Linked DNA regions of Arabidopsis thaliana. The protein of the gene in region 2 interacts with the protein of the main gene of each other region in a biochemical or structural test. Each region holds a gene or a part of one and is shown on either strand. Other genes may lie near its edges.

The links.
Region 1: of the proteins of NIA2 (region 2) and SIZ1, one has a biochemical effect on the other in vitro, tested with the Arabidopsis thaliana proteins (one study listed by BioGRID).

What each region holds. Positions count from the first base shown.
Region 1 is NC_003076.8:24,293,080-24,300,781, forward strand, and holds the start of SIZ1 (DNA-binding protein with MIZ/SP-RING zinc finger, PHD-finger and SAP domain-containing protein), read left to right. Parts: upstream 1-1,681; 5' UTR 1,682-1,956; intron 1,957-2,054; 5' UTR 2,055-2,146; coding exon 2,147-2,170; intron 2,171-2,438; coding exon 2,439-2,519; intron 2,520-2,738; coding exon 2,739-2,781; intron 2,782-2,890; coding exon 2,891-2,963; intron 2,964-3,057; coding exon 3,058-3,220; intron 3,221-3,384; coding exon 3,385-3,515; intron 3,516-3,822; coding exon 3,823-3,891; intron 3,892-4,134; coding exon 4,135-4,222; intron 4,223-4,301; coding exon 4,302-4,377; intron 4,378-4,588; coding exon 4,589-4,662; intron 4,663-4,791; coding exon 4,792-4,899; intron 4,900-5,382; coding exon 5,383-5,544; intron 5,545-5,648; coding exon 5,649-5,753; intron 5,754-5,836; coding exon 5,837-5,917; intron 5,918-6,000; coding exon 6,001-7,204; coding exon of another isoform or gene 7,205-7,221; exon of another isoform or gene 7,222-7,452; coding exon 7,453-7,588; coding exon of another isoform or gene 7,589-7,592; exon of another isoform or gene 7,593-7,673; coding exon 7,674-7,702. UniProt on the Arabidopsis thaliana protein: E3 SUMO protein ligase involved in regulation processes. Mediates SUMO/ attachment to PHR1, a MYB transcriptional activator controlling the phosphate deficiency responses.
Region 2 is NC_003070.9:14,156,937-14,162,458, reverse strand, and holds NIA2 (nitrate reductase 2), read right to left. Parts: upstream 4,008-5,522; 5' UTR 3,843-4,007; coding exon 2,798-3,842; intron 2,612-2,797; coding exon 2,471-2,611; intron 2,375-2,470; coding exon 807-2,374; 3' UTR 521-806; downstream 1-520. UniProt on the Arabidopsis thaliana protein: Nitrate reductase is a key enzyme involved in the first step of nitrate assimilation in plants, fungi and bacteria.

The DNA of each region.
Region 1 (7,702 bases), on a different chromosome or scaffold from region 2:
GAGGTGATACTAATAGAGTGATTACACATACAAGTGGTCTTGCTTCTTCTATGGTTTTAAAACTGCAAATAAAGATTTGCTTCGCAGGAGAGATAGCGCCATCACCTCTTCTAAGAAGTTAACTAGTGGTGACGGTATCTCTCCTACGTAGCAATCCTTATATATGCATCTTAATACGGAGAGATCAAGGTATTTCAGTTGTTCAATAATCACCCTCTAACAAAGATGCATCTTAATATTCATAAACTATTCTCTTTCTACTTACATAGTAACACCATAAAAACAATGAAACTGCTCCGTAGAGGACCTTGGTTTGAGCCTCTAGATCGTCTTCTCTTACCTAAAATGATAATCTGTTCCAAGATAGGTTCTTGCTATTTGCTCAAATATGTTTTGGTCTTTTGAATGTTAGCTCAGCAAGGAGCTCACATGATTAGCAGCACATCCTCAGCCTGAAAGTTTCAAGAAAAGCTTTATCAATTTAAGAGTTGTGTACGTTTGCAGAATTCTCACAAGTTTGGTTTGATTCTCACCCACAAGAAAAAAATGTCTTTTCTTTTACTTTCGATATGTTTCTTTGCCTTTGACAAGGGACATATAAAAATGTTAAGACGAAAAGGTTGACAAATCTTTGAAAACTATCCACATCATGAACTCAAGATATCTCATTCCATTAGAAGCAAAAAAAATATCAAGTCAATGAGACCAGCTCACGACTACTCTAGAATCTTCATTAAGCAGAACAAGGAAAATCTATAGGTCTAATTAAACCTTTTTTTAATATCTCGGGTTAACACCAAATTTGGTTCAAACTCGACAAGTCATTGTTCAAAACACAGCATCCAAAAAGATAAAAAGCCAAATCTTATCACCAGAAGTCCACCACTAATTGGTATATAATGTTTTTTTTTGTATGTAGAAATAGTGTTGAAGAAAGAGCTTCATGCTATTTGATATCTATAATATCTCATTTCTTGTAACAAATGAACTCCACACGGAATGAAGCTTTTTACATATAGAAAGAACATATAAATGTGTCCAATATCTAATTTGGTCCACGTATCAATTTGCAAGATCACATGCTTACGAGACCTCAAATATTTGGTGGATATATAAGATAATTTCCCACATGTTTTACGAACCATCCCGTAATGAGTATGAATTATCCGGTCTAGCAATCCATTCGATAGATTTACTAGTTGAAACTTGAAAGTAGGGTTTTGCTCACTTGTATCCTTTATTCGTAGTTTAACTATAATGCACATATGGAAGAATTGAGCCACAATTCTCAATGAATTTAGCGAGGGTGAGAAATGTCAATTCAATGTACATTCTATGTCAATTCAATGAAAACAAATGAAGAAAAGAGACATGAAATATGTTTCCAAATTCTTACTTAGAAGAATTAGAATCAAATAATACAATATCTACATATGCCATGAGAGACATATGGAAAACCATGTTTTCGGATGATAAACTTCCAAATTGATTTGATATATACTATAAACCGGCAAATAAACAAATTGAGGTTAAAATATAACAAACCGGTCCGGTCTGATCGAACGGCTGATGTCATAAAACGTGGGGAATATTCGATTAAAATAACAAAGACTCCGTTACGGTCGTAAATAAGTGGTGTGAGAACCGAAAGTCAAAAACACGTCAATATTGGTGGGGGGGACGACCGTGCACGTGACCACACAGGAACTAAACCCGGACGTATTGCGCGAAAATTAAACCGGATTTGATAATCGGCGACTCGTCCGGCAACCCTTGTTTTGTTTTCGTCTCGGCGGATCGATTTTTCTTCGTCTGGGTTTGGTTGTCTTTTTATTTTCCTCTTCCTTGGCCAAAGAAAATCTTATCGTAGCTGTGAAAACCCTAGTTTCTAATCATCTCAATTCTCTCATTAACCTATCAATTTCGATAGGGTTTGATCAAGTATCCGATTTCATGGTTTGTATTTTCCGTTTAATAGTCTTTAAAGGTCTTGTCTTTTGGAATTTCAAGGGTTTTCGTTTCAGTAACTCCTTCTTTTTTTTCTGTTAATTTAGATCGGTTGCTGTATGGAGACTAATTGCTGGAGTTTAGGTTCGTGTGTTTTGAACTGAGCTTTTGGTTCTTGTTTGTGTCTGGTGTTGAAGACATGGATTTGGAAGCTAATTGTAAGGTATTATTGTCTGAAAGATCTATGGATGCTTGTTGGTTTATAATTTTTGTTGATTTGAACTTGTTATGAATGTGTTGATTGGTATATAGAGTGGATGTTTCAAAAAAGCTTTGCTTTTCCGTTTTGTTTATGATCTAGATTGTATTGCTGGGAGTAAAAAACGATCCTTTATCTCATAAGGGTTTTGGATTATGGTTCGTGGTTGCTGTTATTGAATTTAGTCTTGCTCTAGTTAAGCTTAACGTTGTGTTTTTGTTGTGGGTTGCAGGAAAAACTTTCATATTTTCGGATAAAAGAGCTCAAGGATGTGCTCACTCAGCTGGGACTTTCGAAACAGGGAAAGAAGCAGGTTAGTATCGTTCTCTAATCTTCCATTGGTCGTGATTATGTTTGTGATTGTTTTGGAATGATTATAGTAGAGAAGATGATGTTTTGGGTGATAATTATTGCTGTCTTGAGCTATATAGCAGTTTCCAAGATAAATCTAAGACATTACCTTGCAAAGAGTGTTATCTGTTTTATTCTTTCACCAAAAAATTTAACTTCTTTTTGAAATTTTCTTGTGCAGGAACTTGTCGACCGGATCTTGACCCTTCTTTCTGATGAACAAGGTTATATGAACCACTTGCTTTTGTTTATTCACGTTTTGGTGTATTAAGAGTCACTGCTAGCTCTGCCATCTTCTTCTAATAAGCTTCCGTTTTCATTCCCTACTGACAGCTGCCAGGTTGTTGTCTAAAAAGAATACAGTGGCAAAGGAAGCAGTTGCCAAATTAGTGGACGATACATATAGGTGAGTGCTCGTTTCTTTCAATAGATTTCTTAGGAGATGCCATGCTTTTTGTGGCGGTTCTTTGTTACCATTAATTTTATATTGTGTTCCATAGGAAAATGCAAGTATCTGGGGCAAGTGATTTAGCATCAAAAGGACAAGTGAGTTCAGATACCAGTAATCTGAAAGTTAAGGGAGAGCCTGAAGACCCCTTCCAACCAGAAATTAAAGTTCGATGTGTTTGTGGAAACTCGCTAGAAACAGACTCAATGATACAGGTAATCTGGGATGAACTCACTGCGTTTATTCCTGTTTGAGCTGACTGTAGACAATTTCTTTGTATTTTATGGTCGATGGTGTGATGTATTTATCATTGATTACATTTGTGAAGTTTGGTGATACTTTCTGGCTGTAATTTTTGTTTTTTTTCTTCCGATTTCAGTGTGAGGATCCAAGATGCCATGTTTGGCAGCATGTTGGCTGTGTTATTCTCCCAGATAAGCCTATGGATGGGAATCCACCACTTCCGGAATCATTTTATTGTGAAATCTGCCGACTTACTCGAGCTGACCCGTATGTGTTTCAAGGATTTTACTTTTCCTGTCTGAGTTTAAGTTTGATATGTGATTGATTTTCCATCTGAGTTCCTCCCTCACTGCTTTATGATTCTTTCCTGCCATAACTGAAAAGAAAGACATATTTATACATTTGACATGCTTTGCATTCTAGTTTCTTTGCGTTTGATTGTTCTTCTTCTTCTAGTACTGTTTTCATAGTTGTCAATTTTCTTTTATATATTATTTCCTATCTTTACATTAGCACCTGTGGATATCCTATAGCATGATTATTCACGGTTTTCCTACATGGTTTCCTTGTTCAGATTTTGGGTTACAGTGGCACATCCACTCTCTCCAGTGAGGCTGACTGCAACGACTATCCCAAATGATGGGTAAGAATTTTATATTCTTGATATTGCTATTGCTTTGAACGAGTGTACTTTCAGTGCCATTATTGTGTGAATTGGTACTTTATAAGTCACTTTGACTTTAAATTTTCTACTTGGAACTGGTATAAGACATTCATTCTAGTTTCAAGAATGACAATTGTTTCCTGGCTATATGCATAGCACCTGCTGAAGAAATACTGTTACTGGCTTTTGTTTGTACTAATACTCCGATCCAAAACTTTTCAGTGCAAGCACAATGCAGAGTGTGGAGAGAACATTTCAAATCACAAGGGCAGACAAGGACCTTTTGGCCAAACCAGAGTACGATGTTCAGGTTGGGTTTTGTAAACTACATTTAATATGTCAAGGTGTATCTACCTATACGTTTCTAACTGGAAATCAATTTTGTTTAGGCTTGGTGTATGCTCTTGAATGATAAAGTTCTCTTTAGGATGCAGTGGCCTCAGTATGCTGATCTGCAGGTCAATGGTATGACAATGACATCGACCAGAGTTTTAGTCGGTTGAGCATTTCCTTTGAAACAGGGGAATGTTGTTTTATTTCATGTTGCATAAATTCCTGTGGGCACATTCCATTCACATTCACATTGTCTTTATTTGTCTGTTATTCTGATCATACTCAATAAGACTGTGTATGTTTCTGATGTGGGATTCATGATATATACCCTATCATTTCATAGGTGTGCCTGTACGTGCAATTAATCGACCTGGAGGACAGCTTTTGGGAGTCAACGGCCGCGACGATGGACCCATTGTGTGTTTTTTATCATCCCTTTTGAGTAGTAACCCTTTTGAATTACATATAGGAGTCAATCTCTCATACATTGAAAATCTAGCAATCAGTGATGTAAGTTTTAACCATTTCATTTTACTATTTTGGCAGATTACATCTTGTATTAGGGATGGAGTTAACAGAATATCCTTGAGTGGAGGTGACGTTCGGATTTTTTGTTTTGGGGTCAGACTTGTGAAGCGCAGGACTCTACAACAGGTACTGATAACATATATGCATAAGAAACATTCAAAGATTTGGTCGTATATGTGGTCAATGAAGAGTCCAAACATAAATGTTCAAAAAGGAACGAAATTAATATTCTGAATACAAAAAGAAAGAATAAATTATGTTGGCGTACCCAAGAAAGTAATTTTGTGGAAGTTACCTGTGGTTACACACTTACGTTAAACTATTCCCATGTTATTTCCCACTCCCACTAAATCTAGAAAAGTTAGTCAGATTTCAAATTTCACAGTCCTATTCTTCTTCCTATATTTCACGTATATGAGCCACTGAGCCTGGCCTTGTATGAGATTTGGTTACGGAAGTGTAGTCTGTCCTTGTGCTGCAACATTTATCCCTTTAATCAATATATTTATCACTTTTGTTGGTGTTCTTGTATACAGAGGAATTCATATTGTACGTTAATGATCTAATGATCTCCAAGTTGCTTATATATATACTCATTTTTGCATCTAGGTTCTAAATTTGATTCCAGAAGAGGGTAAAGGGGAGACTTTTGAAGATGCTCTTGCACGTGTCCGCCGATGCATTGGAGGTGGAGGTGGAGATGATAATGCCGACAGTGATAGTGACATTGAAGTTGTTGCTGATTTCTTCGGTGTCAATCTTCGGTGTCCTGTAAGTTACTAATAGCTCGTAGCCCAGTTTTTATACTTATCCTCTTCCTAGGGCTATCTTGCAGACTGAATTTTTTTTATTGTCTTTTCTGTTTGCGTCATTAGATGAGCGGTTCTAGGATAAAAGTTGCTGGGAGATTTTTACCCTGTGTGCACATGGGCTGTTTTGACCTTGATGTGTTTGTGGAGTTGAATCAACGTTCCAGAAAGGTAGGTCTACTATCCTTGTCTAGATATTGGGTTATGTCTCTTGTTTTCTGACTTTAGTTGTTCTGGGGTTTGTTAACATGCAGTGGCAGTGCCCTATTTGTCTGAAGAACTACTCAGTGGAGCATGTAATCGTCGATCCTTATTTTAACCGTATCACGTCTAAGGTATGTATTCTTATGGGAATTCAAGAATTCTTAAAATCTTTGTATCTACGCTTTTATTCAGTAGTTGTCTTCCTGCACGACAGATGAAGCATTGTGATGAAGAGGTGACTGAAATTGAAGTGAAACCTGATGGTTCTTGGCGTGTAAAGTTCAAAAGAGAGAGTGAGCGAAGGGAACTGGGGGAACTCTCACAGTGGCATGCACCTGATGGTAGCCTTTGCCCCTCTGCTGTTGATATTAAACGGAAGATGGAAATGTTACCGGTTAAGCAAGAAGGTTACTCAGATGGTCCAGCCCCGCTAAAACTTGGAATAAGGAAGAATCGTAATGGCATTTGGGAAGTTAGCAAACCTAATACAAATGGATTATCTTCCAGTAATAGGCAAGAAAAGGTTGGGTATCAGGAGAAGAATATTATACCAATGAGTAGTAGTGCTACTGGAAGTGGTAGGGATGGTGATGATGCAAGCGTAAACCAGGATGCTATTGGAACTTTTGACTTTGTAGCCAACGGCATGGAACTTGATTCCATTTCCATGAATGTTGATTCAGGTTATAACTTTCCTGACAGAAACCAATCTGGCGAGGGTGGAAATAATGAAGTCATCGTTCTGAGTGATTCTGATGACGAGAATGATTTAGTGATCACTCCAGGGCCTGCATACAGTGGTTGTCAAACAGATGGTGGACTTACTTTTCCACTGAACCCTCCTGGAATAATTAACTCATATAATGAGGACCCACACAGCATAGCTGGGGGAAGTTCAGGCTTAGGTCTTTTCAATGATGATGATGAATTTGATACGCCCCTTTGGTCATTTCCTTCTGAAACTCCAGAAGCCCCTGGGTTCCAACTATTTAGATCTGATGCTGACGTTTCAGGAGGTTTAGTTGGTTTGCATCATCATAGTCCACTAAACTGTTCTCCTGAAATAAATGGAGGTTATACCATGGCTCCTGAGACATCAATGGCATCTGTTCCTGTGGTTCCTGGCTCTACTGGCCGATCTGAAGCAAACGATGGCCTAGTTGACAATCCTCTTGCATTTGGTAGAGACGATCCCTCACTTCAAATATTTTTGCCAACAAAACCAGATGCTTCAGCTCAGTCGGGTTTTAAAAACCAAGCTGATATGTCAAATGGTCTCCGTAGTGAAGACTGGATCTCGCTTAGGCTAGGCGATAGCGCCTCTGGGAATCATGGAGATCCTGCAACTACAAACGGGATTAACTCAAGCCATCAGATGTCTACGAGGGAAGGTTCTATGGATACTACAACAGAGACTGGTTTGTTCCCTGTCTGAGACTAATGCTTTCCTGAAAACATCAAAGGGACCTAAAAATGTGGACCATGTTCTTGATGTTGCATTACCTTTTTCATCACTTTACTAAGCTGCTAGCTAGGTCTTATAAACAACTGAAGAAGAAATATCTGTTTTAGTTTCTATGTGGCGTATTTTGTCTTTGAATATGCTACTTTATATATGTCCATAGTCCATGTGGTATACTTACTGACTATTACTGCGTATTTGCAGCGTCGTTGCTTCTGGGTATGAATGACAGTAGACAAGACAAGGCAAAGAAGCAAAGATCAGATAATCCATTTTCATTTCCTCGCCAGAAGCGTTCTGTAAGACCTCGGATGTACCTCTCCATTGACTCGGATTCTGAGTAATATTCTTCCTGATTTGTCTGTTCTGTTGTGTCTCTCTTGGGATGATTCGGTGTTCCTTTTGATTCTTAACGCTATGCACAGAACAATGAACAGGATCATCAGACAAGACA
Region 2 (5,522 bases):
AATCGTTGATATATGATTTTATTTAGATATATATATATATATATATCGTAACATTTTCTATCGGTTTAATAGCACACTATTTTTATATAGATATGATGTTCCTTTTGGATAACTTAGAACATAACTTGTGATGCTGTATTAAAATTCTAATCCTGTAATGGAGAAGAGTTTGGATGCTAGAAACATACTTTATAAACATGTACAATTTTAATAAGAACAAATTGAATATTAACTGAAAACTCTAAAGATTCTCAAACGATTGATATATTGTTAAACTAATCACCCAAAAAGGAAGAGTCTTCTAAATTACAAGTTAATAAAACAAATGAAAAAAGTAAATTCACTCCCCCTAATCTTAAATCATATATGTGGTGAAGATTAATATAGGAACTAATGGACGAGTTTGGTTTCAACTTGCACAACAGGAAACTACTTCGCTTTGGCTTTATTCTCTTTGAAAATGATTATTGGTGTCTAATAGCTGTAGAATTTTTATTTTATTTTTTAACGACAAAGACATATGAAAAAATGAACATATTCAAATTGATATTCATAATGTGAAGTAAACGCAGAAAATTCAATGTACGATAACCTAACCACAAAAATTTCTGAAATTACTTTTTGTATATTATTGTGAAAAAAAATATCGATCGTGAATACAACGAACACATTATATTTCCAAATCCAAGACTTTAAAGAACCAACATTATATACAAACAAATCCCTCAATACTTATTTAGAATCTATCATAACACTAGGCTTTTTGACGACTTAACGTTTTGACTTTGAAATATCTTGGCTTTAGACTAGAATATCAAGAAATCCTCCTTGATGTTATATTGCATCTTCTCCAAATTCGGCTGAACCGCAAACTGAATCATCGGTGGTGGTCCGCAAGCCATGGCAAGGGCTGAGCCATCTAATCCATCAGGGATATGTTCTCGCATAATCGCCTCGGAAATAAACCCGGTACTGTATGCCCAACCTTCCTTAGCTGATTCCACTACGTACCAAACCTTTAACCGGTCCGGGTATTGCTCTGCCCAACCATCCAGTTCCTCCCTTAGGAGAATATCTTCCTCGGTCCGGTTAGCATAAATGACGTACATTTCAGTCTCATCCTCTGGATCCTTGAGAATGGCTTGGATAATTTGGTAAACCGGAGTTATTCCGGTTCCACCTGCCAACATTGCCAATTTATCAGCAAACTTTGGTTTACCGTGAACCGTGAAACTACCCTTGCCGAGATACTCAACGTGACCCAATGGTCCTTTAATCTCCAAAGTTGACCCTATAGGCAAAGAGTCTAGGTACTGAGACATGAGCCCGCCGTTAGGGAATCTTGGGTGGACACCGCCAAAGTAAATCTTGACCACGAGCTCGAAGTAGCCAACCACATCAACGGTGCTGCTTGGTGTGTAAGCTCTGAGGCAGAGCTTGTCATTGATGGTGGCGCAAAGGAAAATGTGCTTACCAACCGGTAAGCCTAGAACCATATCCTCAACCGGTAAAGCAAACCGGAATTTACGAACATCATGAGAAATGGAAGTCTTTTCGACGAGTTGAACCGGGACTTTAGCCCGGGGATTAACCAAAGCGAGGTTCCTAACCGGAGTCGCCTCTCCAATGGGAGCCAACAGCGAGAACACGGCGGATGAACCGTGAACCGAGTTGTTAGGCGAGGAAGAGTCAGAGGAATAACCAGTGGTGATGAGCTCACCGATACGGTAATCCTCAAGCATCTTCTTGGCTTTATCCGAGTGAATGGCTTCAAACTCCTCCGTACAATCCGTACCAGCATTGATCAAGATTGAATCCGAACCACCCGGGTGATCCATAAGGAATCGTGTACAATCATAGATATGTCCATGGACAATGATCCAGCAAGAGTCAGCCGAATTATGCTTCTTGACCTCGGACATCGAGTACATCTTCGCAGTTGTGTTCATAAACGGCGTCGAGACAGACTTCTTTAGACTAGGAGGCGCGTCAGCCGATTTTTCGAGGTGACGTTCCTTCGCCATCCATCCACCAGATTCATTACCAGGAAGCGTTGGATGCTCGAACACAATCCCAATCTCTCCCTTGTGTGGCTTGCACACGTTAGTCTTCACTCTAAACCAGCAGTTATTCATCATCCCCATGAGATTCCATATCATTTTCTCGGGCTGCGTGTTGAGAGTCTCGTCCCATGCACGAACAGCAATCTCTTTGGCACTAAGCAAGTCCAAAACCTCAACCTCAAGTGACCAAAAACACCAACACCAGAACTTCCCATACTTGTTTGGCTTCTCTTGATGGTCAAGTGCACATACGTTCCATGTCTCTCCACCATCTACCGTGACCTCCACACGGGTCACTTTTTTTCCACCTCCTGTTTTTTTTTGTATAAAGATTATTGTTACTATTAAATTAAATCATCCTATGAAATAACGTATTTATTAAATTAAAATGTTAAAAGGACAAGTACCGGAATATGCGTAACCCTTTAAAGTATAAGGTCTTTGGGTTGTGAAAGCGTTGATGGGAAGAATCTCCTCGTGACATGGCGTCGTAATCACGGAGTTTATGTTTAGCTCGTTGATTATGTACTCTGGCTTATACCACCAACCTAAAACAAAACCATTGAATTTGAATTTATGTAAGTCACAGAAGCTGACATCATCCACCAACATTAGTTTTTCATTTTTTAATATGATTTCTGTTTTTGTTTTTCTCCTATAGGTTCGGAGACTTTTTAAACATATCAATTAGTTCATCTTAATGAGATTTATTGAAGCAAAAAGATTTTATGTACCTTCTTCGTCGGCGAGTTCGGCGTCTACCAAAGAAGGTAAAACTCTGTTGTCCTTGAAATGGTAGAAATTGTCGGATTCTTTAGTTGTGACAATGATTCGTTTCAACCATTTAACCATCCGGCCACCAATGAAACCGGGGATGATGATCCGAACCGGAAAACCGTGGTCTGGTGTTAGATACTCTCCGTTTTGCATATAAGCCAAAATGATGTCTCTTGATGGATCCATGGCATATTCCTTCTTGATGCTCGTTCCGTATTTGGAACCAGCAGTTCCGGCACCGCCCGGAAGATCCTCCGACCCTTCGAAGCAGACGTTGAGAGCGCCGCCTTTTCGGCTAAAGATCCCGCAGCGACGCAGTACGTCGCAGAGAGGGACACCACGCCACACGGAGGTGGAAACTCCGGCGGATCCCCAGTTGAATCCCTTTGACTTCTTCACCATGTTCTGTTCCTTACGGCGGTTCCCCGCGCAGACTAGCGTCGCGGCGAACTCGCGGTAAGCAAACTCGGAGACGAGCTGGTCCATGGTGAATTTCATGGGCCGTTTGACGAATCCGGTCACCTCGACCGTCCATTCGGCCCATTGGGCTTTAGGGACGTGGCCGTGGTTACGAACGTAGTGCAACGGGACAGGGGTGATAAACCCGTGGTGCATTAAACGGTTAAGAGGCGCCTCGGAGTTGAAGGGATGTTTCCCTGTGAGACGTACCATGGAAGGGTTACGCTCGATCCAGCTATCAGCCGTGTATTCGTCCCTCGGGTCCAAAACGGACGGTTCAAGCTCGGCGTTGGATTTTCTTATCATCTCCTTGTAGTACACGGCGTTGCTGTTGTGTGTCTCGTTCTCGTCTTCGCTCGACACGTCTTCGTCATCGTCATGAACCTTGGCTGGTTTCAAGAACACGGTTTGGTTGGTGGTTTGGTTCTGGTGCGCCTTAGGGGAATCGGACCGGCCTGGAACGGGAGGTTTGTAAGAACGAACCACGCCGTTCAAACCTGGCTCGAGACGAGCGTATTGGCGATTATCTACAGAGGCCGCCATGTTGGAAAGTGTATAATCGTAAATAATGTAGAAAGCAGAGCCTTTTTCTCTCTCTATCTCTCTCTTGTGAGTGAGATGAGATCTGAGGACGAAAATGCATCGTTGGTGGAGATGAAGTTATATAGGAGAGAGCCTAGTGGTATGCTTTTAGGAAGTATCGTGCCGAATCACACGTATGGGACCATTTGTGACTTTTTAATTTTTTTCTTACACACTTACTATTAATTTTTTCTTATGACTTGACTTAATTAAATAAACCATCCATTTGTTTGACAAAAATAAACGATCATAGTTATTCAATAAGCTTAAAATGATCATTTTTGTCCCTATTTGTTATAAAACAAATGTGAATTGTTGGAGTAGTTTTGTAAATACTTTTAACGTCTCGGAAACATGTATAGATTTTTTTTTGTCAACTAAGAAATGATGACAATTGAATAATATATTATTATCTATCATTGGTTATTTCCTGTAATACAATATAAAAATGTGATCAAAACATTTTCCTTTTTATTTTAGTCGAATTTGTTTTACTAAAAAATATGTTTTCTTATTCGTGACACAAAGCCGTATTTATTTTTAATGGAAAAATAACGATAAAAGATGACAAAATAATTAAGAGCAATAAAATTAGTAATACAAAAATCGTGGTGATAATATTTTCATACTATTAATTTTAATAGTTTTTGTGATCGGTAACTATTAAAACCGTATATATATATATATATATATATATATATATATATATATATATATATATTTTGTAAACCGTATATTTTTTACCAGTAAATTAAAGAATTATCAATGTGTTAACATAGGAAGAACGTTCCTTTTATTATTGAGATTTGATAATCCTTTTACCCCTGGTTCTAGTTTAGAAGTTTATCAATGTTCTTATATCCTTCAGTTAAACATAGGAACAACGTTCCTTTTATTCTTGAGATTTGATAAATCAATTAAACATATTATCAGAAAAAATCTAATAATCATACAATATTTATTTTCTTATTAAACGTTATTTTCAGTAATATTTTCTTATTAAACTGTTTTTTAGTAATATTTTTTTTTGATAAAATTAACAGATGTGATTTTCAGCAATATTGATGAGATATTAATTATTGAGTAATCTAATTTTTTGTATACATTATTATAACCTAAAATAGTTCCTTGAATCATCTAAAAGTTTAAAATACCTATGTATGAATGTTGGAAAATGAAAAAAAAAAAAAAACTGAATGATGGAAAATGATCACGTTCATCTTTTTCCTTAAAATAACTACAAAATTATTTCTCTTTTTGATCAAGATGCAACATTACAGCCACCTATATATTAGTATTACTGTTATTATTGTTTTTCTTCGGAAAGAATGGCGGTGACTAATCAAAACCGACGGAGCCACGGGTTCAGCAGATTCAGTGGGTAAATCTTTCTTTATTTAAGACTTTTTTTTGTTGAAAATTTCATTGAGTAAATATTGAATATTGATTTTCTTGTGAACTTCTAATTTTGGGTAACCAATATACATCTTTATTTTTTTTATATATATATATATATATATACTTCTTCTGTTATAATATATAAGATATTTCACTAAAAAGACAAAGTTTAAGATATTAATTAATATTTTTACATTAAAAAACATATTTTGATATTTAATTAAAGAGAGTTTGCTAATGAAT